4 linked regions of the Oreochromis niloticus genome follow. The protein of the gene in region 4 binds, or shares a complex with, the protein of the main gene of each other region. Links are inferred from orthologs where the notes say so. Each region holds a gene or a part of one and is shown on either strand. Other genes may lie near its edges.

Evidence for each region.
Region 1: med16 (region 4) and med8 share a complex: the UniProt entries of both Homo sapiens proteins name them as parts of the mediator complex. The link is inferred for Oreochromis niloticus from reciprocal best matches to the Homo sapiens genes MED16 and MED8.
Region 2: med16 (region 4) and med18 share a complex: the UniProt entries of both Homo sapiens proteins name them as parts of the mediator complex. The link is inferred for Oreochromis niloticus from reciprocal best matches to the Homo sapiens genes MED16 and MED18.
Region 3: med16 (region 4) and med4 share a complex: the UniProt entries of both Homo sapiens proteins name them as parts of the mediator complex. The link is inferred for Oreochromis niloticus from reciprocal best matches to the Homo sapiens genes MED16 and MED4.

Annotation. Positions count from the first base shown.
Region 1 is NC_031986.2:30,947,524-30,954,839, reverse strand, and holds the start of med8 (mediator of RNA polymerase II transcription subunit 8), read right to left. Parts: upstream 3,005-7,316; 5' UTR 2,920-3,004; coding exon 2,914-2,919; intron 2,687-2,913; coding exon 2,565-2,686; intron 2,292-2,564; coding exon 2,147-2,291; intron 2,058-2,146; coding exon 1,917-2,057; intron 1,822-1,916; coding exon 1,734-1,821; intron 1,642-1,733; coding exon 1,402-1,641; intron 1-1,401. Other genes in the region: aldehyde dehydrogenase family 9 member A1, read right to left, coding at 4,599-4,693, 4,777-4,889, 5,085-5,226, 5,308-5,395, 5,528-5,716, 5,815-5,955, 6,885-7,081. UniProt on the Homo sapiens protein: Component of the Mediator complex, a coactivator involved in the regulated transcription of nearly all RNA polymerase II-dependent genes.
Region 2 is NC_031976.2:26,228,928-26,235,951, forward strand, and holds the start of med18 (mediator of RNA polymerase II transcription subunit 18), read right to left. Parts: upstream 3,017-7,024; 5' UTR 2,859-3,016; intron 2,834-2,858; exon of another isoform or gene 2,597-2,833; intron 2,431-2,596; 5' UTR 2,401-2,430; coding exon 2,328-2,400; intron 662-2,327; coding exon 105-661; 3' UTR 1-104. Other genes in the region: uncharacterized protein LOC109204220, read right to left, coding at 6,289-6,399, 6,508-6,548, 6,671-6,781, 6,864-7,024. UniProt on the Homo sapiens protein: Component of the Mediator complex, a coactivator involved in the regulated transcription of nearly all RNA polymerase II-dependent genes.
Region 3 is NC_031987.2:29,462,417-29,469,789, reverse strand, and holds the start of med4 (mediator of RNA polymerase II transcription subunit 4), read right to left. Parts: upstream 3,023-7,373; 5' UTR 2,949-3,022; coding exon 2,878-2,948; intron 2,352-2,877; coding exon 2,285-2,351; intron 1,631-2,284; coding exon 1,460-1,630; intron 1,094-1,459; coding exon 1,036-1,093; intron 931-1,035; coding exon 844-930; intron 759-843; coding exon 627-758; intron 274-626; coding exon 101-273; 3' UTR 1-100. Other genes in the region: itm2bb (integral membrane protein 2Bb), read left to right, coding at 5,705-5,788. UniProt on the Homo sapiens protein: Component of the Mediator complex, a coactivator involved in the regulated transcription of nearly all RNA polymerase II-dependent genes.
Region 4 is NC_031986.2:36,000,695-36,008,050, reverse strand, and holds the start of med16 (mediator of RNA polymerase II transcription subunit 16), read right to left. Parts: upstream 3,006-7,356; 5' UTR 2,643-3,005; intron 1,746-2,642; 5' UTR 1,593-1,745; intron 1,522-1,592; 5' UTR 1,476-1,521; coding exon 1,337-1,475; intron 1,253-1,336; coding exon 1,145-1,252; intron 934-1,144; coding exon 764-933; intron 645-763; coding exon 363-644; intron 236-362; coding exon 86-235; intron 1-85. Other genes in the region: misp (mitotic interactor and substrate of PLK1), read right to left, coding at 6,310-6,399, 6,476-6,514. UniProt on the Homo sapiens protein: Component of the Mediator complex, a coactivator involved in the regulated transcription of nearly all RNA polymerase II-dependent genes.

The sequences.
Region 1 (7,316 bases), about 5.1 Mb from region 4:
TTTGCAAAAATTCAACATGTTTTTTGAAATGTGAGTTCTTCACCATTACTTTTCTTTACTATTCACTATCTCTGTGAATGGTACTCATGGCCATTGATCAGTGGGTTTTGATCAGTGGGTTTTAGTCAGTGGCTGTTGATCAATGGGCATGAGAATTTGCATAATTAAGATTAAGGAACTGACCCAACCACCCCATTCACTGAGCTGGTTGGTTTCAGTCATTATGCAAATGTACTGTTTATAAGATTGGGGAAACCTGCAGTCAGCTGAGACTGAAGAAGTCACTTGGATGAGTGACGAAACGTTTCTCCCACAAAACGTTACGTCCAGATGAACAGAATCAACCTTTGGAGATTTTCTTTACTATTGTTGCAGGATGGGGTCAAAATCTTCAGCGTGGTCTCAAAAATGGTATTTAGTAGTTCCCTGAGTATATACTCAATAAATTCTAGTATTGTGACAGTCTTAGCTAGTAGTCAATGTGCAAGTTTCAAGGTCCATAAACTCCTGAAAATGATCTGTAGAGTTCAAAGTAGTATCAATACATATAAACAAACAAGCAGTTTTCATATGAAAATCAACACTATCATCTCATTACAATGTAATGTTTGGTGGGAATTTTCCTGGCATTAACGTGGAGATTACTTTGAAGTAAAAGTACATTTCTAGTTAAATTAAACAGGTAGTGCACACCTTAACATGTTTTTAAGCTGTAAACTGCATGATAACAACTATACACAGACCACAGAAATGAATTCTATACAGAAATGTTGGCATTTCTACCAAATTTATGACAAAATGCCATCTACTATTTTAAATCATGTCTATGTTAGGAAAGCCAGGGATGACAGTCAACTACTTTGTAATACTTAACATCATAAAATATATATCAGATACGACTGTTAATGCCCCCTAATAAGGGCTAATCATCAGCATGCACCACGGTCCCTTCGGCCTCTGCATTTGGGTGGAAGCATAGATGGATTATTGCATGGGAAAAATGGGCGCATTAGCTTGAGAATGTTTTTTCATTTGTGCAATGTTATTGTTTTTTTAAATATTGGAATAGGCAGTTTTTTAAACTGCAGTATAATGTAAGATTGTTTGAGTATCCTGTTATGAAGCCTAGAGCTGAGCATTTTTGTTATCAGCTGGTGTTTTAAAAATTTGCCTTTAACATATCCTGTATAATTCCCCTTCCTACCTCTTAAAGTGACCATAATTTTTAAATGGAGCATCACACTTAATTCATTATAATTCAAAAACTAATGACTGTCATCAGTAAAGTCTTGAAACTGAAGAAAACTGAAGAAACACGGCAAAGCACTCTATGGCTGGCTCTCACATAACTGTGATGCTGTGCTCAGATAAAATACTAACTCAGCTTTCCAAGTCTCCTACCTGTCTGTCCTTGCTGCTGTTGAGCCACAGGTCCTCCCATACCTGCTTGCTGGCCTGAACCCCCACCAATAGTGACCTGCTGTAAGGTTGGACCTCCACTCATCATGGACCCCTGTCCTTGGTGTCCAGGGGCCACAGGACCAGGAGGCCTACATTTGGAAAGTCCCTTTCCAAATGCAACAGCCGAAACTAATGCGTTAGTGTCAGCAGGGTTGAAAGACGGTTTGCTCTGTCGCATAGCTGGGTTAAAAAATAAAAATAAAAAATTGTGAGTCATCACTGTGTTTGTGTAATTTATTAAAGAAAAAAACTGCAGCAGAAGTGCAACATACCAGCACTTTCTGCATCTCTGTCCTCACGAGGGTTGCTTAGCTTCTCCAGCAGAGTAGTACACAACTTATTCAAAGCCTGGATCTGTTTCTGTTCATGACAATAAAACCTGAAGGCTTAAACAAAAATTGCAAAATATTCCCAAAAATGACAGAATATTTTATTTTATGTGAGTCCAAACTAACCTGGGCCACATCGGGGCCAATACGTGCTGCCTCTGTACTCAGCGTTTTCTCCTGCTCCTCCACCTCTGGGTCAGGTTTGGTCCGCAAGTAGTCCGGTACGATCTCATGGCTGAACACTGGAACGCGCTGCTCCGTAAGTTTCTGGGAGCAGGTAAACAGACACCTCAGAGAAAATACTTCCTTTTTTTTTTCTTCAAAAAAGGAAACGTGTCATCAGCTGTGGTACTCACTGCCAAGTCCTCATCTCGGTCTGGAGACAGGACCAGGGGAATTATAACCTGGTTGCGAAAGGATGGTGTCTTCTCGTTCCTGAGCAGTTTATTGATGGTGTTCAGCTGACCAGACAGAAGAGCGAAGTTATCCAAAACAGAAGGCCTACAGGACAAAAAAGGGAACATCTGTGAGAGCTCAAAAATAATCCACAAAGCACGCGTTTCAGATCAAATCTGTATATCCACAAGACAAGATTTTCCACAGTTTCTGTCACATTTTCTCCTGTAAATAAAAGGAACACAATGTGTTCAATGTTGTGTATAATGTTGCTGTCAAAAACTGCTTGAACAACAAAGTACGAGGTCAACTTAAATCTATGTCGAGTTTCTTTTAATACAAATCAGCCTGCTTTACATTGAAAACAATTTTACTCACCACGTCAAACGCTCGTACTCGTTTTCTAGTTTGTAAATGAAACTGTGCAGAGCATTTTTAACGTGAGCCACCCTCGAAATGAGAGACTCCACTGACGCCTCTAATTGCTTCTCTTCTCGTTGCTAAAAGACAACAAAAGCATTAAAAACCTCCCAAACTGACTGCAAATACACAGTTGTGCTAGCTAAACGGCTAAAGAGTGCATAAACTCAGCCACTTAAGAGACCAACAGTCACTTAAACAAGAAGAAAATGAGTCATCAGGCAAAATAAATAAAAGTTTTAATGAATGTTAATGCATCTAAGGAGGCATTATACTGTCGTCCAGAATATATATTCATATTTATTACCTGCATTGTTCAAGTAGAATTTAGCCAACCTCAAGCGACACAGAAGCACTTCCGGTTCATCACTGTCAAAGTAAAAGCCTGCAGATTAAACATGGCGGAAACGCTATAACGTTTATTTATTCAAATTTTTCTCGTAAACAAATAATCCAGTACACAACTTATGCGACATTTAAGCAAATATTTCAGTTTAGAGTTTAGAGTTCAAATGTGATATATGTAAAAACTGAATGTATATCTATATTAATCTATATTACTATAGTAATTAAAACTATAGTAATTAATTTGTACATTAACTGTGTACTCTCTCTCTCTCTCTCCCTCTCTCTCTCTCTCACTATATATATATGTATATATATATACACACACACACACACATATATATATATGTGTGTGTGTGTGTGTGTGTGTGTGTGTGTGTGTGTCAGATAACGCTTTGCAGGTTCTCAATTACATTCCTACTTTATAAATGCTCCATATATTTATATACTTAATATATTATATATATAGCAACATACAACTGCTTTTAAACTACAACATGGTGCTGCTGCCTTATCGGTAAAGCAGTTATTGTTTAACAATATGAACCCTGTTGTCACGAGACAATTATTCAGATACACAGACACAACAGTTAACCTAACATGTATGATTCTGGGAGGAAGCATGAGCACGCAGAAAGAAACCAGGACCTTCAGTTTGCTTCAACGTGAAGCACAACTCATAAGAATTGCAGATCATTATGAATGAATGATCTGCAATTTTAGAAAGCACCTGGTAGCATATAATATCAAATACACTGTCAAAGTTTGTGGTTGTACACCACCAAAATCCTGCTAATTAGTATTACCAACAATAATAACATCACTTACAGAATAACTAAAATGTCAATTAATAGTACCATTTTCCAGGTACCAGGAAAGGAAAAGAGAGATCATATTTCTCCCACACTATCAACTCTTTACTGACTCTGTTAAATCCAGAACTTAAAATCCTTCTCCTCACATATAGTAATAAAAGTATCTTTTTATTATATTATCTCAATATAGTGAATACAATACTCTTGACACCTTCTCTACTTTTGAATTTGGCCTTGAAAGTTTTTATAACTCATAAAGTTACAGCTTAGTCAGGTGACCCTGCACTAGACCAAGCTTGCTCAGTGACGTCCCATATTAAACTTATTTAACATATTATTTTAAAGTATTTTTTCTCCACTCAGCTCTTTTCACTCATGTATTGTATGTTATTAACTTCATCCGCTGGTCTGCTGTCCTTTGATCTTTCCAGTTGAGGCAGATGTCTGCCCTTCTGATGGAGGTCTCTTCCTGTTAAAAAGAAGCTCTTCGTCTCGCCCACAGGGGGATCGCTGATTGTTGGCATTTTCTGTCTAATATTGTAGTCTTTACCTTGCAATATAAAGCACCTTGAAATGACTGTTGACGTGATTTCAGTATAGCATATTCATACAGTTCAACTCACAAGCAACAAAGAAAAAGAATTTGCTTCTACAAGTTTATTTTGATACAAAGAAGCAGCTGTTAGGCAGAAATTTTCTTCTGATTACTTCAATACTTTTGGAGTCTACATCATGTTCCACACACTCTGCATTAATTATGTGTCAGCCTAGCACAGTAAGAAGGGAGAAGTGAAGAGCTGTAGTCACAGTTCTGGCACAGCGGTGTAAAACTTTAGAAGAGGCTTTCGACGTCACCCATTTCCACCACTACAGTCTTCAGCTGGGAGTAGTACTCGATGGTCACCTGGCCGTTCTCTCTGCCAAAGCCTGCAGGGATCAGGAGAGAACTGGTTAATTTATTGAGCAAATGCAGCATTTACCTGGACCATGAAAAGCTGACAGCATCTTACCCGACATCTTGTATCCTCCAAACGGCAACTCTATAGGGTTGATGTTGTAATTGTTGATAAAGCAGGTCCCTGCCTCCATACTCGCTGCCACGCGATGGGCTCGAGAAATGTCCCTGTAGGAGAAGGAAAAGAACCGACTTTTATACAGAGAAAAGCAGTCTGTATGCAACTTGAAATTGCTACTGTGCAGTGAATTGGCCGCACTGTGGAGACCTTGAGCCACAGCCAACAGAATGCAATAAACTCATTATCTTAAAAGAGCAAGCCGTCAACAGTTGCACCACACTGCTGACTCACGACAGACTGACCTGGTGAAGACCCCAGAGGCCAGTCCAAAGGTGGTGTTGTTGGCTCTCTGGATCACTTCTTCCTCCGTGTCAAAAGGCAAAACGGACATAACAGGGCCAAAAATCTCCTCCTTCACACAGGTCATGTCGTCTCTGCAGTTATCTGTCGAGAGACTTTGTGTGTTAAAAAACAAAGCTGACTGTGCGTGTGCTGTACCACCATTAACCAAAGTGTTAGACGTACCAAGTACGCATGGCGACATGAAATACCCCCCTTTCAGTTTGGGGTCACTGGGGACAAAGGGATCTCCTCCACAAAGCACTCTGGCTCCCTAGAAATAAATAAATAAATAAATAATTACAAGAGCTATGTTAAAGAATACCCACAGTAATGCAGATTCTTTGTGTTTAACTGAGAAACCACAAACTATTAAAGCTAATTCTCTCCCTCTAATGAAAAGCACCTCTTTCTTGGCCTGACTGACAAATCCCAGCACTTTCTCCAGCTGTGGTTTGCTGATCAGAGGTCCCATCCTGGTGCTCCCGAGCAGGGGGTCACCAACAGGGATGGCCTTGGTCCTCTTGACTACCTCCTCTAGGAACTGTGGCATGATCTCCCGCTGCACAAACACTCTGGTCCCATTGCAGCACACCTGCATATTTCAGCACAAAGTTAATACACCAAAACCTCCAAGAGTCTTGGTTTGCATCAGGCTGCACAGTACACTAAAAGTACATTGTACAGACTCACCTGTCCCTGTGTCAGGAAGTTCGCCATTAGTGCCCCCTTCACTGCATTCTCCAGTTCGCAGTCTTTGAAGATAATGAGAGGAGATTTCCCTCCCAGCTCCAGAGTCACCTGCTTCACACTCTTTGCAGACATTTCCATGACCTGAAAGTAAAGAGAGCAGCCATGGTCTGTGGGCTTGTATAATAAAGTCACCTTTAGCTTAAAATAAAGTAGCAGATCTTTAAGGCTGGTTAGGGTGACCCTCCTCCAGCCTGCAGGAGATCTCCAGAGCAGAACAAGGGCTACTGTTGTCACCTCCAGGGCAGTGTACTCTGAGTCTGGGGACTCTTTTATCCTCCCGCGTCCCCACTGCCTCTCTGCAGTCAGTTTTCTCTTTAGGGGCAAACATATTTGTAACTGACATCGTTTCACTTCTTTGTACGTTCCCTCATGTCAGTTCCTATAACTTCAGATCTTCCTTAAATTTTATCCTATGATTATTTCTTTCTTATACTGAGATGATGACTGTTATTCTTTTATTGGCAAGTTCAAAAATCGCAACTAGAAATGCACATGAGGAATCAACAGTTGCTAAACAGGCGAATCACAGTAGGTTGGGGCTGTGTCCCACAGGAGAATAAATACCCCAATACGTGACTCCAAAAGTGAGCCAATAACCCAACATTCCCATCTTTAATGTCCAAGTCCCCAGCACTAAATTCAGTTTACAGCCTGGTTGAAAATAATAATGAGAAGAAGAAAAAGAATTATTGACTTCTTTGAACCGTTTCAGTTTTGGCAGCTTGCTAACTGCATTCTACCTGCTTGACTTCTGTCTTAAAACAAAACATCATAGCAGCAGACAAAATGCTAATGCTTAACATGGAGACATCACAGTGCCTATGTGCATCTATCATACTCTCTATGTTCTAAACTAAAATATTCTATATTAGTAAACAGATCACATTCCTCTGTATGACAAAAAAAAACAAAACAACTAAGAACAAAATTTACTTGGAAGACCATCAGTGTATCTGGACATTCCAGTTACAGTCCATATGTGGGAAACAATGCTGTACTGGTCTGTGTACCTTTTTGCCTGTAGGAACACTCCCAGTGAAAGAGACTTTAGCGACTTTTGGATGATGGCAGAGCAAGCTGCCGGTCTCTGCTCCACCTTGGACCACACAGAAAAGCCCATCAGGTACCCCAGCCTCTTTGTAGATCTCAGCCAGGATGACAGCAGTCACCGGAGCCATTGGAGAGGGTTTATATACGATGGCATTACCTGAAAACACAACCACAATTAAATCCTGCAAGTTAAGGCCTGCAGAGCTACCTTTGTGAATGGTCACATGAGACAAGACGAACAGATAGAAACAAACTGTACTACAGGCTGATTGATAGGAACGTGTGGTAGAGTCCAGTATTAAACAGGCCAAAAGTAATTTATTAAAAGAACAACATGTTCATCAGTGATGTGACAGAGGCTCTGTGGCTCTGCTGCATTATTTTTAGCAGGC
Region 2 (7,024 bases), on a different chromosome or scaffold from region 4:
TCCCTCAGAAGTTGACTTAGACCTAGTTCCTCTGGTGGAAACTCATGGAGTCCCTCCCAAGGTTCCCAGTCACCCGGAGAGAGTTCCTTTTTGTGGAAAACTGGCTAATGTCTCTGTTTGCTAGGGTCAATCTTTTCCAAGTGAACCAGGGGTTTGAGTTGTTCAGCAAAGCTGCGCATGTCCTCTGACACAGTGTCTTGTCCTGCAGGAGCCAACACACTCAGCTCCACCAGGTATGAAAGTGATAGATGCTCAGTGTTTTCTGTATTCCCTGGTACAAGTATGCGTGACAGCTTGCTGACCACAATTTTCATTGCACCTTTACGAAATATGTGTCCATTGCTGACAAACTCATGGTCCATGCGGAAGCCCATCTCATTGAGGAACTCCGGAAGGCTGTGAGAGGCAGCAACATCAACGCAGTTGCGTACCAAAGCGTGGCGACTCTTGTCTCCCACTTCAGATTGACCAAGGTAGCGTAGGTGCCATGGAGCAGTTGGGTGGGAGAGGGAACGGCGGGCACGCAAAATGAAGGGGTTTCCTTGCTGGCCTTTGAGAAGGTAAACCAACTCATGATCGGTAAAAGTCTCAGGTTCCATGTTGTCGCACAGACCTCGAAGGCGATGCAAGAGGCTTTCCAGGGCCTGGTCTAACACACTCCCTGATTCAATAAAGTGCACAAGGAACAAATACAAAAAATTACATTTGGCTAGGACTCTATACATATTATATTTATAAATATAGTCTCCATTAACATTTCTCAGAGAAAATCAACAGCTAAGAGCTCACATTTTAAACATTACAAACTCAAATCATAATATTTTTAGAGACATTATGGGCTTAACTATCTTAGATCGTCCATAGTTTGTACATATATAATGATTGCTTTGACATTTTTGCTTCATATATCAAATACCTCAAGGATTTTCCTTTAAAGAAAAAAAAAAAAACAACACATCCACCCACTTTCAGGGCACACGCAGTAATATTTTAAACCTAGTGTAAATTATAAGACAGTTCAGTAGGTCATGAAATACTCATTTTGATTTATTAAACTTATCTCAATAAATCAAAATATTTTTTACTGTTGTAATTAGAATACCATCTGAAACCTCCAGAATTTAGAATTTTGGTCTATTTGGGTTAAACTATGCATTACTATTTTTCGTTTTTGTGGTACAACTTCACATTTGCTCAATGCAGCATGAAATTTAAACCCCCCAAAAAAGATTTTTTTCATTTTTATAACTAAGAAATAATTTTCCATTTTGCATTATTGTGAAATTCAATTGTATACCATTAAAAATTGGTGTGCGTTTAAATATGACACTTTACAGATTGGATCTGCAGATCTGGATATGGAAATCATATCCTTTTCTCTTTATTATCTTTAACAGATATTTGTGTTCAAACATCTGGTTTCAAAGTATGACCAAAAAAAATGCTGGAAGAGGGTCAATGGTCCATATTTCAAAGAAAATATATCTTGAAAAGTATTTGATACAAGGTAAAATGTCACAGCAATCATAAATGGCCAAACTTTGGACCATACATTTTCTAAACAAATCTGCAATGGTCCAGGAGAAGACCCACAGTATTCTACAACAGAGTGACCAAGTTAAGAAATAAGGTTTTAAACATTGTAAATGCACCATTTTAAAAATTATTTGTAATAATATTATAATAAGAATTTAGCTGTTATTTGGGTCATGTGGGGCGATCGTGGCTCAAGAGTTGGGAGTTCGCCTTGTAATCGGAAGGTTGCCGGTTCGAGCCCCGGCTCGGACAGTCTCGGTCGTTGTGTCCTTGGGCAAGACACTTCACCCGTTGCCTACTGGTGGTCAGAGGGCCCGGTGGCGCCAGTGTCCGGCAGCCTCGCCTCTGTCAGTGCGCCCCAGGGTGGCTGTGGCTACAACGTAGCTTGCCATCACCAGTGTGTGAATGTGTGTGTGAATGGGTGGATGTCTGGATATGTAAAGCGCTTTGGGGTCCTTAGGGACTAGAAAGCGCTATATAAATACAGGCCATTTACCATTTACCATTTAGGAGCTAGTGCATAATAATTTAGGTCAAACGTGACATATGTAACACTGTTCATTCACTATTCACTTTCACACCAAAGGCTGTTGCTGATGTAACTTTACTCATTGTGCTGAACAGTTGCACAATGCAACTATTAAATGATTATTGCTGTTGCTTTGCATTTTTGTTACTATAAGCTACTATCTGTAGTATTGCCACTATCAGTACTATATGCTATGTATAACACTCAGGGCTTGTTAGTTATTTACCTGCTTACTTGCTTCAGCGGATGCATGATATCTTACCTTGTAACAGATACTCCATCATGTTAATTGTGCCCCCAGTGACAGGCATTACAGTAACAGGTGGCGCCTCCATCTTTCCTCGGGTACTTTGAGGTTTTTGGGCCTAAAGAAAGAAAATTATATGCAGATACATATATATACATGTCGGAACATCTGATGGAGCAATGCCATCATTAACAAAAAATTTCCACCTGTCGCCATAGGTAACAGAGTTTGTAACTTTTAGCTCGCTAATAGCCGGTGGTAACACTAATCTAAGTGTAACTCACTCGAAACAACAGTTTGCACTATTGTCTACGAAACCACGAAGAGCAGTAGCCGAGGAAAACCGGGTAAATGTTTTAAGTGTTCGTTCTCGATAACGTTTTAATACTATTGACCAAAGGCCTAAACAGGGTTCTAAACACACGGCTACTACTACACGGCTACTACTACACAGCTACTCGGTTTGCTAGTAGCTAACCGCAACATTACTTAAGCTACCAGGCTAAGCGTTTCAATGTTATTACAGAAACATTAAAAATATATTACCTTTCAAAAACAAAGAAGCGAACGCGGAAAGAAATAAACGTCTTTTTAGTTATGAAAGAAAAAGTGAACACAGTTAGCAACAACAATGAATGAGAAGCGTCTTCCTTTGGTGTGTCAAATCGGTAGACATCCAACTTTGAGGCTCATTACAGCCACCTACTGGTAGTGCTAAAAATATCGACAGCAGGTCATCTGTGCATAAAATAGAAAGAAATGGACATGGACGTCATGGACAGACAGGCTTTTTAGACTATAGGTACTCTGGTTTTATTAACACAGGCTATACGAATGGATTATCAGTACTGTGGAAACTATTACTGTTTTCACAGTACTGTGAAAAGTATATATTACTGAGCATTAAGTTTAGAGGTTTTATTGGCATACATACAGTGGAAATAAAAGCAGTAGTTTACACTTAATTTTGCCAATCTCTTGACACAAAACAAACATAATTATTCAAATAAAATAAAAATAAAGAATCCAGAAAATTTACAAAGATTGCAAGTATTGAAAATGCAAACACTAAAATTAGTTTTAAAAACAGACCTGAGTTTGAAAACCCGAGTTGTACCTGCTTTGTCCATATTTGCAAGCCGGTCTTTACAAATTTATGCCATAGCAGGTAATAATAAGTACACTAATAGTCAATAATATTGATGGGGTAGAAGAGAGGCGACACTGACTGTCTTATTCATGAGTCTGATTTGAGACTTACAGTCTTTGATTTCAGACTCCTGTTGCATCTACCTTTAGCATCTACCACCTACCTGTTAACTGGTGGTGTTGTGAGTTTGTGTTGTATTTAATGTTGATGTGGGCAATGCTGACAGCCCTGGTGGTGTAAATGTCTTATACTAATGAAAAGATGATCCTGTGATTTATTGTGCAGTTTTTCTCGCACACTGAAGTCTTCCTGTCTTGAGTAGTGCAGCTGAGCCCTGTCAGTCATCTTAGAAAGTACAGTCAATGTGCTCTTCACTACCTGCTGGGTGTTGTGAGACCAGGTGAAATCCATCCTCATGTGTGTCCTCCACCTCTGTCTTGGAGTGTCTTTTCCTCAGATCACCTTGCTCTTATCTACATTTAGGGCAAGATTATTTTCCTGACACCAGGCCACTAGTCATTTCACTTCTCTTCTCTATGCCATCCCTGCCAGTAATCAGCCCAATTACTTTAGTTTCATATGCAAATTTTATAATTCTGGTATTGATTAGGGGGATGCTCACACTCATATGTGAAGAGAGCATGTGGCAGTGGACTCAGCACATGCCCCTGAGTAATACCAATGCTCACAGTTCTGATGTTTGATGTCTGGTTTCCAACTCTGACTGAGTGGGGTCTATCTTACAGGAAGTTCAGAGCTCAGTTACAGAGAAAGGGTGTGAGTCTGACAGCATTAAATGCAGCTTCAGTCAACGAACAGCATTTTCACAGACGTGTTACTACCTTCTAGTGGACTGATTCTGTATGTGTGCATAAAGTAAAGAGTCCAAGGTAGCCAGGATGGTCTTTTTGATCCTTTCAAAACACTTCATCACAATTGATGTAAGTCCAAAAGGATGATAGTCGTTTAAGCATGTGGCAGTATGTTTCTTGGAGAGGGGCCCACTGGTAGTGGACTCAAAGCATAGGCAGATTGTATATGTCTATGAATGCACCATCCAGCTCTGATGAGTAGACCCTGAGTGCATGCCTGGGGATATTATTTGGGTCAGCTGCCTTATTTGGGTTTGTTTTCCTTAGAGCTGTGCACACTGCCACCAATGACAGATCGTGATGTAGTGGTTTGTCCTGTGTGTCATGTCCTGTCTGTCTCTGTTGGTTGGTGTTGTGGTACTCAAATTGTTTTCAATTTAGGCTATTCGGAGATGACTGCTATGAATACTGCCATTGTTATTTTAATTTAGGATTTTCCACCTTTGATTTTGGTGTTATTTTAGTTTTCAGGGTGGATTTTCTGATTTCAGTTTGGTTTTTAAGTGTTAAATGATAAGTTTGCATTTTATTAGTTTCTGTGTTGGTGTTTTTGTTTTTATGACGTGGGTGGTATTAGTGACATAGGTCAAATATAAGTAAAACAGTACAGTACAACACATTTGACTCACAGTCATTTTCACCAGAGCCTCCTCTTTGTGTTTCCATCTTTGACTAAACAACATTTCCTTTATATTTTTTTATTGTCTGTTGCCTTTTCAAACAACGCATTTAGTGAGTTTTGGTTTATTTCTTAAGACTATTTTTCTATTGTTTTCACTTTTTTTGTATACTTTACTTTGAATAAAACACTTTAACAAATAAAAGGATCCAAAATATTATTTTCAGTGACTATCCTCACCAAAATGTCCTCACAGTATGAACACACATATTTCTCACAGTAATAATCATACTATAACCTTTTATCTGCAGGGTGTTATTGTTTTGCTATCACTGATGATCATTATTGATTAACACTGCAGACGCAGCACTGCTGCGGTTTTAACACTTTTAACAGCCTTCTTCATGCAACCTTTTGCTTAGATGCTGTTTTACTGCGGTCATATTTTATATGGTGATTATGTAAAACCTAAAACTGCAAAGCAAAATACAGCTGTAAAATAAATTTAGTGTAATAAGTGTTTTTTTCTTTTAACAAAAAAATATAAATTGTTTGTAAATTTGTTTTAATTGCTGAGCTCGAGTAACTTAATGTACCTGATAAAGTTTCTCTTTGTGAAAGCAGCATTTAATTGCTGTAACATTTTGAGGTCAACTTTACTTCTTTACCTACATTTGTTTTATCTTAACTTGATCTGCAAGGTAACCAGAAACTGTGCTTTCATGCAGTTCATGAATGGACCTCACCTCTGTACTGAGCAACAACAACAAAAAAAATGTTGTTACATAACATCTGTATCACACTCAAAGCCTCTCATTAAAATTATCGATCCATGTACTTTAAAACACCCAGAATCAGAATCAGAAAGGGTTTTATTGCCAAATGTTGAGCAGGTTTACAACATTAGGAAATTGCTGTGGTACTTAGTGCAAAACATACTGTCAAACAACGCTTAAATAACCATAAAAATAAAAGTTAAAAGTGCTAAGTAAATAGATATATATATAGATATATACATCTGCCCGGCTTTCAGAGAATTAGGTAAAAGTTCAGTTAAAGATTCGATTAGAAATCATTCCTTTGTTGGAAAAAGAGACTCATGGTTTCAGATTTTCCCTTGAGCAACATGTGGGTGAAGTTACAATTTAAGTAATTTGAGGAATTAGTTACTAAATCAAATGACAGCAAGGATGGAAAGTATAATTCTAAACAGTGCCCTTTAATGACCTTACCTATTTTAACAGTCAACTGAAAAGCACTTTGGACCAATCCATATTGTTTTAAAATGTGCTATATAAATAAAAGTGACCTCACTTATCCTGGACCTTTTTTTCTCTATACTTTTATTTCACAATAAACACAATCACTAGAGGCCATGTGATTAATTCTTTTGCCAGGTGTCCTGATGATAATTGATGAATAAACCACTGAAGACTCCTCTTCCACCTGCAGTAAAAAGCAATAAATTTCATTACCCAGACAAAGCAACACGCACACACTTCATTTCTGCATGAGAGTTTTAGGTTACACCTCAATGTCAGCACAGATACTTACCCTGCTATTCAAGCCACAGCAACAATTTTGAACAGGAAATGCTTTGGTGAGACAGAAGCAGAAGTATATTCAGAATCATGGGGGGAAATTTTTCATGCAAACCATTAAAACAAAACAATGAAATACACAGGAAGTGGAAGTAAGGCGCAGCTGCATAGCCTACCTGAATGTAATCTTGATTTGAAGCAAAAAATTATAAATGCCATTAAAATGACACATGATACTGATATACCACAAATAAGTGGGATCCAGTCTTCAGGCTCTTTTTCAAAACCTGTGGAACCAAAAACTAAATATTATTATTTCTTTGATTCAGGTGTAAAAGGTTCACAAACAGCATATGGCTAAACACCCACCTGTTGTTGTGCTAAATGCGTTTGTGCTAAATGTGGGACTCATAGTAACTGTAGTGTATCCATCAAACACTGAATCTATATTGCACTTTAGGGACCCGTGTGAATGTACATGCACAGATGTAGTTGAAGTTCTGTTTGGATTATTGGATTTCATGCCGCAC
Region 3 (7,373 bases), on a different chromosome or scaffold from region 4:
GCTGGTGAGCTCTGAGTCCAACATACAGACACACACACACACACACACACACACACACACACACACACGTCTCAGCGTCTCTTGACTCTGAGACACACTTTTAGTCGGAGTCACTACTGCTGCTGGAAGAATCTGTGGACATGGCCTCTACATCATCTTCGTTCTCCTTGTTGTGACCCGGAGGCTCCAGGCCAAAGTCATTGCCGTGGTGAGGGGGCAGCATCCCCACTGAGACATCAGACGACTGCCACGGGTAATGAGGCGTCAGGACGTCTGAAGTGACACGAGAGAAAAGTGGTTATTCTGTGAAATGCCAGACACTGACTGACACTACTTATCTCAGCTCCCTTATATAGTATCTGAAAGCTGGCACTTTTTGCCAAGTTTCTTATGTTACAGAACATGATGTGGATGCAGTCTGAATGGCAACAAATAAAATCTGTGTTCAGTGTTTATACTTGATAAAAAGAAAAATAATGGATCCATCCTTTAACTTTTTATCATTATAACGATAAATTATTAACTTATACATTTTGAAATCACTGTAACAAACCTCTGACCTCATCTACAATCTCTTTGCCAGGAGGCATGGGCACTCCTTTCTTTAACTGCTCAGCTGGACTTACCTGGTAACCTCCCAGCAGCTAATGCATCTCCTGGCAGATGCCCATTCACACCATTGGTGGACAGGTTGGCCATGTGACCAAGCATCCCACTACGCATTTCCAGGTCGGTAGGGTACGGTCTGCGTGGATCACCTGTCAAGTATGATGACAGTGAATGAAGCTGAACATAACTTTTTACCAACACCCGGTGGGAGCTACAAGAGAGCCTGGCACATACCTGGCACCCAGTTGAGAGGAGCACACACAGCGTTACTGGCACTGATTCTGTGAGCATACTTGATGATTTCTTCTGATGAGATGCTTCCTGCAGAGAACATGTAAACAGTGTCAATTTATGAGCAAGACATCAAAGAGAAAACCAGCCATCAAACACAGCTTTCACCAGAACGTGTCGGGAGTGTTCCCTCACCTTTCCTGGCTCTTTCAATGGATTTCAGTTTCTCTTTTGCCTGGTAAACAGCAGTGGCCTGAAAGAGATACACAGAAATATATCAGTCCTCTCTATCACTTGTCACATGATGTTAGAATTTAAAGAAGATGTAGTTTCTGTTTATCATGACTCTTCATATGCTGGCCTCATTATTTTAAACCTTGACCATGTTTAATATGTACATCTGTAACAAAGTAAATCAGAAAAAGAAGAGAATCATAGGCCCCTTTACATTTACAATAGCAACACTATAACCCTGAACGCCTCTGCTGTAAGAGCACAGTGTCAGCTACACCAGCATACTTAAAACATTTGAGCATTTATTTCAATCTGTCAGCGTTGCCCTGCTCTGGATGAAAAAAAAAAAATTAAAAATTAAAAACAACAGACAAGCCAAACCCACCAGGATGTGTTCTGCTTCCTTCAGTTGTTTCTGGAGCTGCTGGATGTCACTGTCTCTCTTCTCCACCTCCTTCTCCAGCAGTTGCATCTCCTGGTGAACCTTCCCCTGCTGCTGTGCCACCTCCATCAGCTCCTGAAACTCCTTGTCCCTCTGCACCAACAGCTCCAGAATCTTATGGATAAAGCATATACACATTCTGTTATCAAAGATTTCCTATTTGATACGCTTCATACAGGTTACTGTAACTAACTAAAATCAGTCAAGTCTAACTTGTAAAATAATTTTAGGCATTCTCTGGAGACTCAGACACAATAAAAGGTTCAAAAGTTATGAAAGATTTATGGACAAGACGACAGAAAATCAGTTGGAAGGAACTAAATATCTTCAAATGTGACCGCATTAAAATTAAATGCTTAAATCTAAAAAATTATGGTTAGCAATTAAGCACAGGGTTTGTCCTTAAAGAAACAGTGATCCTGTATCAGTGATCATGTCTCACCAAAACTTTAAAACAGCAAAAAGCAAAAAACTTAAGACTGTGCAAGTCCACAAAGAACTTAAAGATCAAGTACCAGAAACTGGAAAAATACAGACACCGAGTGGCAGACAAGTATCAAACTGGACAGTGTTTCACAACACTGACCAAATATATAGCTGGAGACATTTTAGAATAGCTGCCACATAGTGAGACTTGCTTGTAGAAGGCCTTTGGCTAAGCTTTGATCACCACTAACCCTAAGACTACACATGGTCTGACGGTCACTGTGAGGGTCATTAGTTTGTTTAAATCTCGGTGTGTCAACTGCAGGCTGAGTGGGGTGTTACCTGCGTGTCCTCTCCAGGTTGAGGCATTTTCTGACTCCTGGACAGGGCCAGCATCTCTATCAGCTCCCTGAAATGAACGCACACACAATGAGAAATGGGTCAAACAGCACAACTCAATCCAACAAATCAATTTCTATCTTTATATATTTATTTACTTTTTAAAGCTCATACTGACGATCGTTTTCTGTACGCCTATGTTCACTTTGTTTCTCTGATTAGTCATTTTGGCCATTCTTGTGGTAGTTTCCTTTTAAAAATGACTATTAGCCGCTGAGTGTAGTACCTACAAACTCTTCAGCAACCTTGTTTTATAAAATGGACACACTCAGTCTTCTAACTGCTAAAAGTTTCCAAGAAAAGACTTAGAACAGTGTTTCAGGTTGTTTCAAATCCCAGGGTTCGTTATCTTTCTTTCAGAAAAGCCGTTGTTTCGGCCAGTGAGCGGCATGTCTGCTAGTAATCAGCACAAACTGGGGGTGCTAGTTCACGGCTCCAAATATGAGTATTTTATCTCTTCACAGATAAAATACGGATAGCTTACCAAACCGTTTACACGAGACACAAGAAAGCCCCCACACGAAGTTTAATTTTACCTGGATAAAACCTCCAAATCATCCAGCACAGACAGTAGTCTCTCCTTCGTCGATTTCTCCGCCGCCGCCATGTTTACTTTCTTTCCTCTGGTTTGCGCAAGACAGGAAATGATGTTCCAACATGCTAATGCTTCTTCTTCTTCTTCTTCTTCTTTATTGTTTTCGGGCAATTTGCGTTTTGGTCTCTAGGGTATGCTAGAGATATGACTCCTGTTCTCACTTCCGTAGCATTTGTTGGCGTTATTACATTAGTATTATCGGCAGCCCCAAAAAAACAAACAAAAAAAAAGTATTATTGGCAGCCATATTCTAATCTAGACTTATGGTGCCTTATTTATATATCTATAATTTTCAATAATTTGTACTAAGTTCATCTACTCCAAATAAATTCCTCCCGTTTTTTTGTTTTTTACTTTTTAATGCACTGCATTTATTTGTCAGACCTATGTTTTTAATTATAGGTTACCTGTCATTTACGAAGATAAGAGCGTCAAATATTTTTTTTCTGTTATCAGCGTATTTCACCTTCATTCAAGCGAAAAGCGACACGAATGAAAAATTAAGGAGTACATTAAGTTGGAAAGGTTGATAATATATATATATTATTATGACGGGACATAATGTGGAAATATTCAAGTAACGATTCAAGCGCTTGAAAATAAAAATGAATACAGTACTTCTGCCATATTTTTTTCATTGTTTTTCTTTTTTTGAGTACATCACACATCATACATCCCAGCTGGCGTGAAAGAATTGTATTAATCTTTTGTTTTGTTTTTTTGTCACTGTATATAAATGTGTTCACACAGCTTTATTTTATTTAGTTCCCATGTCCCCGACCAGGGGGAAACAGCCATTTCCCAGATGTCGGCTGTTTCCCCCAGTCTGTGGCAGGCCGTAGACAGCGCAAACCGAAACTGAAGAAGCTTCCGGACCGTCAAAATAAAAGTGCAAACCAGCTTAAAATTTCACAAAAGTTTATGTAATGCAAGCATTTATGCAAAATGGGAAAAGTGCCACAGTAATTAAAAGATAAAATACATATAAACTTTTTTCTCTTGGAAGCTGTGTACAGTGTATCTGTATTTCGTGGTTGGATATTGCCTTTCGGAGATGAGAACTCACATTGCAGCCTGATTTTATTCACGTGGTTTGTTGAGATATTTGAATCAAATAAATACGATATATTCTGAATTCATTATATAGCTCATCAGTTAAAACTGACAGTTCTTCTGTTTTTTCTGTAAATCAAAAATGTGTATATTTTCTTGAAGCCCATTAAATTATTTAAATTTTGGATTTCTTTAATCCACTACCACTTTTTAGTCATCATTTATGTTCGTGCCATTATGTTAATTTTCTTATTTTCTCTTATGTTATGGCAGGGTTATCAAACTCCTTTTACACTGTGTAAATATAAAGCCAGATTTGAGCTTAACTCCTACTTCTGTCATTGCAAAGAAGTTTAACTACACATTACACAATACATCTCAGTTTTTCTGCATTACAGAGAAATACTGAAGTTTTTCAGCACAACTCCTTGGGCTTAAACTGTTATAAATAAATGCATAAATTACTTCCACTAATTACGTTAATTGTATTAAATTTACACCCAAATGTATTAATACAGAAAAAGTTCTATTGGCTTATGGCACAGATGGTCTTTTACTTATACAAACAGAACATTTTTGTTAATTGAAAGAATTTTTGTTTTTGTATTTCTCCTGTAAAGCCACTGCAAAAATGATAGATTTGAATAATGATGGTAAAAAAGTGTCATTTGTGTTTTCATTCCTTGTTTATTTTAGGTTAGTGGTCATGGGGGAGTTTTTTGATCAGTAGGAAAACTCATAAAACTTATGAAAATACAGTTTAAAAAGCTGTCCCAGGGGCCAGATTGGAGAGGTGATTCTGGTCCCTGGGCTTATGTTTGACGCCCCTGCCTTACTTTTATCGTATTAATCAGTGTGTGTAGCTCGGATTGTCCCCCACTCCTTGGTGTTGATGGTTGGTTATGTAAATACATCCCAGAAAAGTAATAAACTCTATAAATTATATTTATAGTAATAAAGTCTTGAGTTTAGTGTATGTGTTCCACTACATTTCGGAAGTAAATGATATAATATTTATTGACAGCTCTAGGTACCAGAGCAACAGTCGTGATCTAATCACTTTCATAATATTTGCACAGTTTTATTGTTCTATATTTAAATAAAACATTTTAGTCTATTACTTGTCTTTTTGTATTATTTATCTATTTTATTATTTAACAGTCATTTATATGTTCTTTTAAGTAGGTATATTATTAAATATGTTAAATGAGTTTTTCGTTAATTGTTTTCTGCATTGTTTTATTTGTTGTTTGTCTAGCATTCCCATTCACTGTGCTTCTCGGCCTATTGTAAATCGCTTTGAAATACATATCTTATATAGGAGAGGCTATAAAATAAAGTATAATAAAAGCAAGTATAATAAGGTATAATACAGCACGTATATACAGATAATTACATAATTTCACACTGATGTTCTTTTTAAGCTAAGTTTTAAGCTTGGATTGTGCCATTTTGCTTTTATATTGTCGTATTTCAGTCAAATATCGGAACGTCTTAGATTAATCGTCGTGGATATGCTTTTATTTTGAAAGTCGGAAGCGCGGCGACTCTAAGTCTAGCTTTACATCGCTCTTATCACAACAACAGAGCAGACTTGGCCGGGGGAGAAGTGCGACTTATTTTTACTTCGGAGCAAATTGTCTTTGCTGTTGTTTGCTTTCTGTCGTGTTGCTTTTTTTCCCTTTCTCTCGGAGATTGTCGCCACTTGTTCCAAGATGGTCAAGGTATCATTTAACACGGCTCTGGCACAGAAAGATGTGAAGAAGGACGCCGAAACTCTTATTCCCGAGGAGGACAAAGTGAGTAGAAAATGGCTAACAGCAAACTCGGTTCTCGGTGGGGGGAAAGGCGCAGTTAAGCATAAATGCGTAGAGACACAATACTGTTGTTTAACAGGGCTCCTGATATATTTCAGTTTCTCCACTCTTTGAACACTTTTAAACAATACATTTTAAAATCATACAATGTATCATTTAAACTACTAACGTCAAATAATTGACTGGACGTTACTTCCTCATGTGGCGTTTGTTTTTTTCACCTTTGATACTCTTGATGTTTCCGGTATTTTCTACTTGTTTCCATTTTTAAATCTATTGTATCCACATAAATATAATATTTACACCTTTTAAGTTGGTCTGACAATACCCTGAAAACATTAATGTAAGTTTATGGGCTCTAAAGTGTAGGAACGAGCTTTGCCTGACTTTTCATGTCGTTTTAGAGGTCAGCAAGTATACCAGGTGGTTAAAGCGTGCAGTTACCAAACAGACCAGTCAGTAAGCAGAAGAATGTAAGAGAAAACAGTGGAGGGAAAAACATTAAGTGCTGGCACCAAAATCACGTGTAGATTTTTACCTGGCAAATTTTAGGATGGGTTTTAATCTGGTTTCATATTACAGTTATTCCTGCTTTTTTTGCAATCAGTTGGCCTCAGACTTCAAGGACATGAACATGTGCCGAGGAAAGAAAAAAGAAAAGAAAAAAAAACACAACAGAAAATGCAGATGTTATGTTATTGCCTCTTTGTGAAGAGTGCCACTCTCAAAAAAGAGAAAGCAGAGGAGGTGGGAACTTCCCCATAACTAAACTTAAAAGTCCATGCAAATTTAGTTATTTTTAATCTGCACCTCTCAGCAATTAATAACAGCTTAGAATGGAAAGACTACACAGGAAGGCATGGGAGTCTGTCACTTTGACATCCTCTTTGGTCTGAAAGATGTGTATGTTGAGTGTCCTAAAAATGTCATTCAAAAGTTAGAAAATTCACCTTTCCCCCCCAAAAAGTGCAAAAAACCCAAAAGAGTGCTGTGCAGTGTGGTGACGCTGCAGTGTATTTTACACAACATTCACTAGAAAAGTGCAACTAAATGACAGTTTTAGAGTTGCAGAGCGGCTGCGACTGCTGTGTGATCTCACCCTGCAAAGGAGCTGGTTGTATTATTCAACTGCTTTCGAGCTGACTTGTGGAGTTGAATGTGTGGGCTGCTGAGGCGTGTTGCCTGTCAGACAGTAAAGTCTACAAGAAGATCTTCCCGCTGGCCTCCACCCTGTTGTAAAAGGAGCTGCCTGTTGTTTCTGTTTCGGTCTGACAGAGGACCTCTGGGCTCTCTCTGTATGCAGAGAGCACTGCGATGTAAACCTTGCTACAGTTGCAAACGCAAACGGCTGCTTGTAGTTTCAAAGATGTGTGCTGAGTGACAAACCACAAAAGTGTAATTCTCGATGAGCAGCTGTGAGAATATCTTAACTTGACTCATTGTGGTGAGAGTTCTGCCTTAGCATGAAACTTTCACACAATCTGCCTGCATGGTTATTGTGGGATTAGACTGTATGAAGGAAGGTGGCAGGGCTCAGTTTCTACCGCCCCCCCGCCCCCCTGTGTCT
Region 4 (7,356 bases):
TTCCTCTGAGTTCTGAAGGTCCTGGTGGTCTCGGGTTTAATGGCCACACTTGTCTTATTGATCTGACTGTGCACACTGGTCTTACTTGCTCAGAGTTCTCCCGGGTCAGGAACTTGAGGTGGGTGACAGCGGGGTACTTCTCCCTCCTCAGCGGGTCGGTGGTGCAACGCAGGAAAAGTGACGGCAGCAGCTCAGTGTCAATGCGACATTTCTCACTCACCACGCTGACCACCACCTGAAACAACCAAAGGTAAAATGTCAGGTTAGCATCAGAGGTGATAGCCCCTTGGTGACGCCAGCAAATGTCAGGTTAGCATCAGAGGTGATAGCCCCTTGGTAACACCAGCATCTTTGGTCCTTACCTTGTAGAACTGCACAGGCGAGGAGCTGCTGCCATCTGTGGCAGCCACCACAATGTTCCCTCCTCCGGTGAAGGCAATATCGGCCAACGCCACGCGCCCTCTCAGCCGGCACAGGCTCTCGCTCGCCGTCAGCAGAGCGCCACCCGGTTTCAGCAGCGACACTGTCACCAAACCACTCACTGTCACCGCCAGCCAGCCCTCCATCGGCTTACCGCCAAACAGCGTTAGGGACGGTGAAAATTTCACCCGAGAGAACTTCTCCCCGAAGTTTGTGGAGCCAGACTGAAGCAAGAGGAGAAGAGGAGGCAGGGCTTACTCAACTGGTCTCAGTGAGTATTAAGACACAGAGCTATCACTGCAACGAGCCAGCAGGTGTGTGCACATGTGTGGGCAGCTATTACCATCTCCACGTGCAGTGCCAGCTTGACACCATTGTGCAGCCAGCTGAGAGCGATGATGGGGTCTCCATCTAGCGAGCTCGACAGGACACTCTCCCAGCTATTCACCAGGTGATCCGACATCGACCAGCATTTGATCTGCCCGTCGCCGTCTGCAGACAGCAGCCGTGAGCCTGCAGCACGCGCAAACACACAGACACACACGTCACTTCCTGTCTCTCTCAGCAGAACGTGACACTGCAACATGTACTGTACATAAAGCAAGAGAAAAGCAGATTCTCCTGCTTGCACAGTCTGAACAGCTTATAGCCAATCCGATTCCAGACCAATAACAGTCAATCAATCAGCTGAGCTCATCTCCAAAACATTTAACTGAAGTCTCACCTGATTGGTCCCACTCCAGACAGGAAATGACCTCAGTGTGTCCAGAGTTGATGGAGAAAACATCCCAGGGGTGCTCAGTGTCGATGATATGGATCATGTGACTCACATCTGGAAAACAGAACATCAAGTTCAGCGTGTGTTTGTGTGTTCGCCTGTGTGTGTGTGTGTGCGCGTGCGTGTGTATTTGTGTACTCTTGTCGTCGTCCTCGCTCTTCAGGTCTGTGGTGAAGGCCACGAGGTTCCTGCAGGACCAGGAGCAGACCAGCGGGATGGAAGGGCAGTGTGTGCTCTTCGGACGCTTCTCCCACTCACACACATAGGCCAGTTCCATGATTCCACCACAGAAGAAGAATCTAGAGCCCAGGTGGATGCGTCACCTAAAAAGCAGACCAGTCAGAGGGATTTAATCTTGTCAGCTGCTCTAATCACTTAAACACCAATTACTGACCTGTTTGTGTGGATAGAGCAGAGATGAACATGAGTGATCAGACCTCTGCCTTACCACTACATGTGTCAGACAGATGCATGAGCCACGGGCTCCCCAGTGCCACCTTTACCTGAAGTAGTGGAAAGTAAAGCTTTCAAAAGGGACACTTAGCCACTGGTACAGAGATGTGAAAAAGCAAAGCACAAGTAGAAGGACAAAAGAAAGAAAAGGAACACACATGTAAAGAAGAAAGCTCTTAAAACATGTGGTTGTCCCCACTGGGCTTTCATCAAATCAGCAAAGATGCACAGAAAAGAAGGTCAGACACCAACTAGGGAGAATAAGAAGGACAAAGGGGAACAACACTGTAATCCCGTATGTAGCAGGTTTATCATAGAAGCATCCCAGTGTACTTCAGACCCAGCCACACACTCAGACACAAACTAAACAACAGTGTATGCTGTGCAGTGCCGTGCTGCAAGGAAAGCTCAAACCTGTACACAGAAGAGAGACTCAGCTGTACATCTGCATCTAAAAGTCAAAGGTCACTCTTTTGAGGATGCCAATGTTCACATTTCGGACAGAGAGGACTGATGGTTAGTGGAAGAAGCATCTATGTCCACTGTGAACGAACATCTTTGAACAGAGGGCGGGGTTTACAAAACCGACTATTTCCACCCAGATCCATACCTTGGCTCAGGTGTCCTCAACAGGTCACACGATGGGCTGGGGCAACATCTCACAGTGGTTTCACCATTAAACCCCATTGATGGTAATGAGCCCCACCTTCTTTCATACCTTGGTTCTTGTGTTGACTCACATGATCAATAGTGGGTAACCCTCAGGATCACCTCCAATGGGGATTAAACACCTGGGACCCTCCACTTTAATTTGTAGAACTAAAGAAGCCTGTTGCATGAAACGTCTTTACAAACTTAAAGCAGTTCAGCTGCTTCCTTTTCAAACTGAGCATCAAACTGTTCACCCAGGCCGTGCCAAATAACACCATGGTCACAGTACTCAGTCACAACAGTGAATGAGCAGCTGCACTAGCCGCTAGCGTTAGCTCACCTGACGGTTTTCCGCTCCTGTCACCCAGATGAGAATGAAAATTAGCTGTTTTCCTTTTCCTGTTTTTAAGGCTGTTTAAAATTAACTTAAGGTCATTAAAACACCGAAACAGCAGACTTGAGTTGAATTCAGCGCTTTTTGCTTGCTGCTGTTAAAAACAAACCGCTCTCTGTTAAAAGGATGTGGGGACCCCGCGGCTGCCTCTACAGCTGCCTGACTATAAAACACTGACGGCACCCCGAAGCTCTACTCAAACAGCGTCAAGGCGAGACGTTTAAGCCACGTGTAATATAAACGTGTTTGTCTGTGAGATGACTGATATAACCTCTGTGATCAGTTTGATATCGGCTCTGTGCGACGAACCGGCTGTTAATCTGACGGGCGCCGCGGACACCCTCCTCTATCCCCGGGAACATTCTGCCCTCAGCGAAGTCTTCTAGGCGGAAAAAAAATTAAAAGATACCTGCATCGATTTTAGTTTATTGTGGTTTCCTTTACTAGTATTTACTAGTTGTTGTTTTTAATAATGGAAACTAAAGCTGAAAAAATATCCGACCTCGATGCATTGTCATCTTGTTCATCTGTCCAGAAACGTATTTTAAATCTGGTGTCAGGTGACTTTTTCTTTAGCTGTGAGTTCACACTGACAGGGTGCACACAGTGTTGCCAACTTAGCGACTTTGTCGCTATATTTAGCGAGTTTTCAGACCCCCTTAGCGACTTTTTTTCTAAAAAGCGACTAGCGACAAATCTGGCGACTTTTTCTGGTGTTATTGGAGATTTATTTATGGCCTGCATTTGTATAGCGCTTTTCTAGTCCATAGGACCCCAAAGCGCTTTACACTACATTCAGTCATTCACCCAGTCACACACACATTCACACACTGGCGATAGCAAGCTACATTGTAGCCACAGCTGCCCTGGGGCGCACTGACAGAGGCGAGGCTGCCGGACACAGGCGCCACCGGGCCCTCTGACCACCACCAGTAGGCAAACATGGGGTTAGTATCTTGCCCAAGGATATTTGGCATGCAGCCAGGATGCAGCCTGGGATCGAACCACCGACCTTCTGATTAGTGGCTGACCTGCTCTGCCACCTGAGCTACAGCCACGACTTTTTGACGTGAAAGTGGGCATCGCTTTTACTCTCAACAAGCAGCGGGTGCTGCCGTGGGCACCTCGCCCGTACCAAAGCGCTCACAGGCGGAGGATAGTCCTCCCCCAGCTGCTATCAGGGCAGACGATGTTCACACCTATGCGTCCGAACTGCAAATGAATCGCGCATGAGCGAAGCCGCTGCTCCCGCACTGACTGTAACGCAGTCAGTTCTTCTTTTACTGTTATGCTGTTTTGTGGATCACGAGGTTTAAAACTACTTATAAACACACACACACACAAAGTAACTCCACCAGAGTGCCTATTTCGGGTCTTTTTTGCCGGTCCAAGACCGGATAAAGGAGCAGGGTTGGAATTCTGACTTTAAAAAAAACAATAATTGCTAAAATAAATTTAATTTGTTGTTCTAAATAAATTCTAAATGCATTTAGGACGTTTTTTACTCACTTTATGTCTCTTCCACAATGTTATTTCTCTCTCCAGCAACGTAGGTTACAATTACATTAGCATGACCAATTATGCAAATTAGGCGATGATGTCATTTAGCGACTTCTGGCGACTTTTAGGACAGCCAATAGCGATTTTCCTTACTGAGGAGTTGGCAACACTGGGTGCACAGCTAGGGATAGGTATCGTTTAGGTTTTATCCGATACCGGTGCCAAACCGGTACTTTTGAAACGGTGCCGGTGCTTAAACGGTGCTCGAACCGGTGCTTAAACAATGGAAAACACAAACTTTGTCCTAAAACCTCTCATGTTTAGCTGGGGGGATTTTTGTAAAAAGATAACAATGTTAGCCTTTCCTGCAGCTATAGGGCATATATGGTGTCACTCTATCAAACAAGAAGACAGCCGCATGTAACTATGACGGTCTTTGCTAGTTCACCTTACGTGCATTAATTTAATAACGTGGTTAGCCTACTCAATGTAAATTACACACGAACAACATTAAGCTACTCACTCAGAGAAGAACTAAAAGAACGTACGTACCTGGGCCTGCCTACTATCCTTGGAAAGGTAAAATGATTGGCTAGAATCCAAAGTGTATGACATCTCAAGAAAAAAAAAGCACCGAAATGGGCGCCGCTTTTCGGTCTGGTTACTACCGTTTATGTCAGAACCTGGCACCGGATACCCATCCCTATGCACAGCTAGATTATGGTCTGATCCAATGATCTGCTGTATGAGTGAGTTCGATCCTCTGTTTTTTGATCACCTTCTGCGTTGTATCAAGAGCAGGATGCTGTCCATATGGTTGGTTTTTGTGTGGGCTGAAGTAAAGAAAGACTTTATTGAGAAACATCACGTCCTCTTTTCCTGTCTCCTCCTCCCTGATCCTGGTTTTCTTCCCGATTAAAGAGAGTTCTTCCTCTCTGCTGTCACCAGGTACCCTCTGATGTTGTTGGTCGTTTGTATAACGATGAGGTGAGTGTAACCAAACAGTGTGTTTGGTTATTGTGTTTATGTTTTGTGCTGTGTCGGTGTGTTTAAGTAAGCAAATGTATTTGTGTAGCACATGTCGGGATACAACAGGTGCTACAAAGGTGCTTTACATCAAATCAAAACACGAAACCAAAAAAACAGAAATGCAGGTAAATTACAAATAAACTAGAATGAAACGTCAGTTTAACCTCCTAGGACCCGGTGACCACATATGTGGACATCACATTTTGGGTTGTCTAGACCAAAATACAAACTTTTGCTCTACAGGGGCCTGATATCCAGTTACGGGGACATTATATTGCCACACTTCTATCAAAATTTAAAACGAATGTCCTCATATGTGGATCTCATTTTTCTCATAAACAAAAATCAGGTAAAAAAAAATAATAAATAAATCTGGTAATTCTTTGTTTTTACATTCATCAGGTCACAATCAGCCCAAATAGCAAAGAGAAATTAAAAATGCATGCCATGAAACAGTTCGGGTCTTAGGTGGTTAAAGCAGTGAGAATCATTGTTTAATTTTGTGTGGAAGGTTTAGTGGTAATGCTGCTAAAAACACATTGTGAACCTTTGTTTCAGAGATGGGTTTGGCGTGCTCTGTTTGGCTACACTTCCTGTTTCTGGATCTTTTGGAGAAAGTTAGAACCCTCTGTTCAAGTGTTTTTCAGAAAGCAGGTAAAACTGAGCTTCCTGTCGCTGTGATTCTGCTATAATACTGCAGCTGTTGGCAGATGTTTGTGTCTTGCAGTGAACCATCTGAATGTTTGAGGACTAAAAATCATTCTTTATTTTTGATGCATCATGAAAACAATCAGAAACTTCCTGTGCTGCTGTGTCAGATTAAAAGTCTGCAGATAAACACTGGAACTCTTTTTTTTCTCTAGATGAATCAGACACGTTGTCTCTGTTTTAGGCTCTAACCAACGGACTGCTGATTAGACAAGGGGAACTGCTGTCATCTTCAAGGACTAATCAGCAACAGCCATTTCTGTTGGAGAGTCTTTAGAAACCACTGCATCCCAGCTTGAGGAGAAACTCAGTCCTGTATTTCAGGATCTCCTGCCCTGCTGCTTGAGGTCGAGTCCTGTTTCGGAGTCAGGCACACTCACTGGTTCTCCTGGTTGGCAAATCGTCCGGCCTCCCAGAGCAGAGCTCCCTGGTTCTTATGTCGATTGACTCGAGTCGACTCCACAACCTGAAAACAGGCCAAGACGACAAGGAGTTAAGGAGACAAGGAGTAAAGGGGTTAATGTTACAGGAGAAGCCCATACCTCGTTGTTGATCTCATCGACTGGCTGGATTCCTGCGTACTGTAAAGAAACAGACAAATAAAAAATAGACTCTGTTATTATTGTGCAGTTTTAAAACCTCAGTTCCAACAGTCAGGACACTGGTTGAACTGCAAATAAAAACAGAATGCAATAAAATGCAAATCCCATAAACTCATATTTTATCCACAATAGAGCACAAAAAACACAGTAAATACTCAAAATGAGACATTTTACTGACAAATCTGAGCTCATGTGGAATTTGGCAGCAGCGACTCGACCTAAAAGTTGCGACGGAGCAGTAAAAGTGTGTCAAAGTCCGGCAGTGCAAAAGAAAAGATCAAAGGTGAGCTGGCAGCAGGTCGGTCACGTGATCAGGTGGAAAAAGATCCTCTCAGAGAGGCGGAGCTTCTCAGAGGTTCACCAACCTGTTTCAGAATCACAGTCCTTGCTGTGAACATATCATCAACTACACAATAAGACATCATCAGCATATTCAGTGGATCTGAGCGCAGGGATGAGGCTGTAAATCAGTATTGGATTTCTGTGATCTTCAGCTGTTCGCCTCAGCTCACAGACTGATGTTATGGAAGAGGAAACATGGACCTGTCCAGATGTGTTGCTGCCATCAGATTCAACATGAGCTCATATTTTTATTCAAACATTTACCATGGTTAAACATTTTATGTGTTTTCTGTGTTCTGTAGTAAATAATATATTAGTTTAATAGATTTAGAGATTGTTGCATTCTGGGTTGTTTTATAGTTCACACAGACCCAGCTTTGTTGGACCTTGGTTTTTATTTTATTCACTTCCATTTTATTTGTGCAGCATCATTTCATTGACAACTTCTAAATGATCATCTTCATCATCTCCTGAAGCAG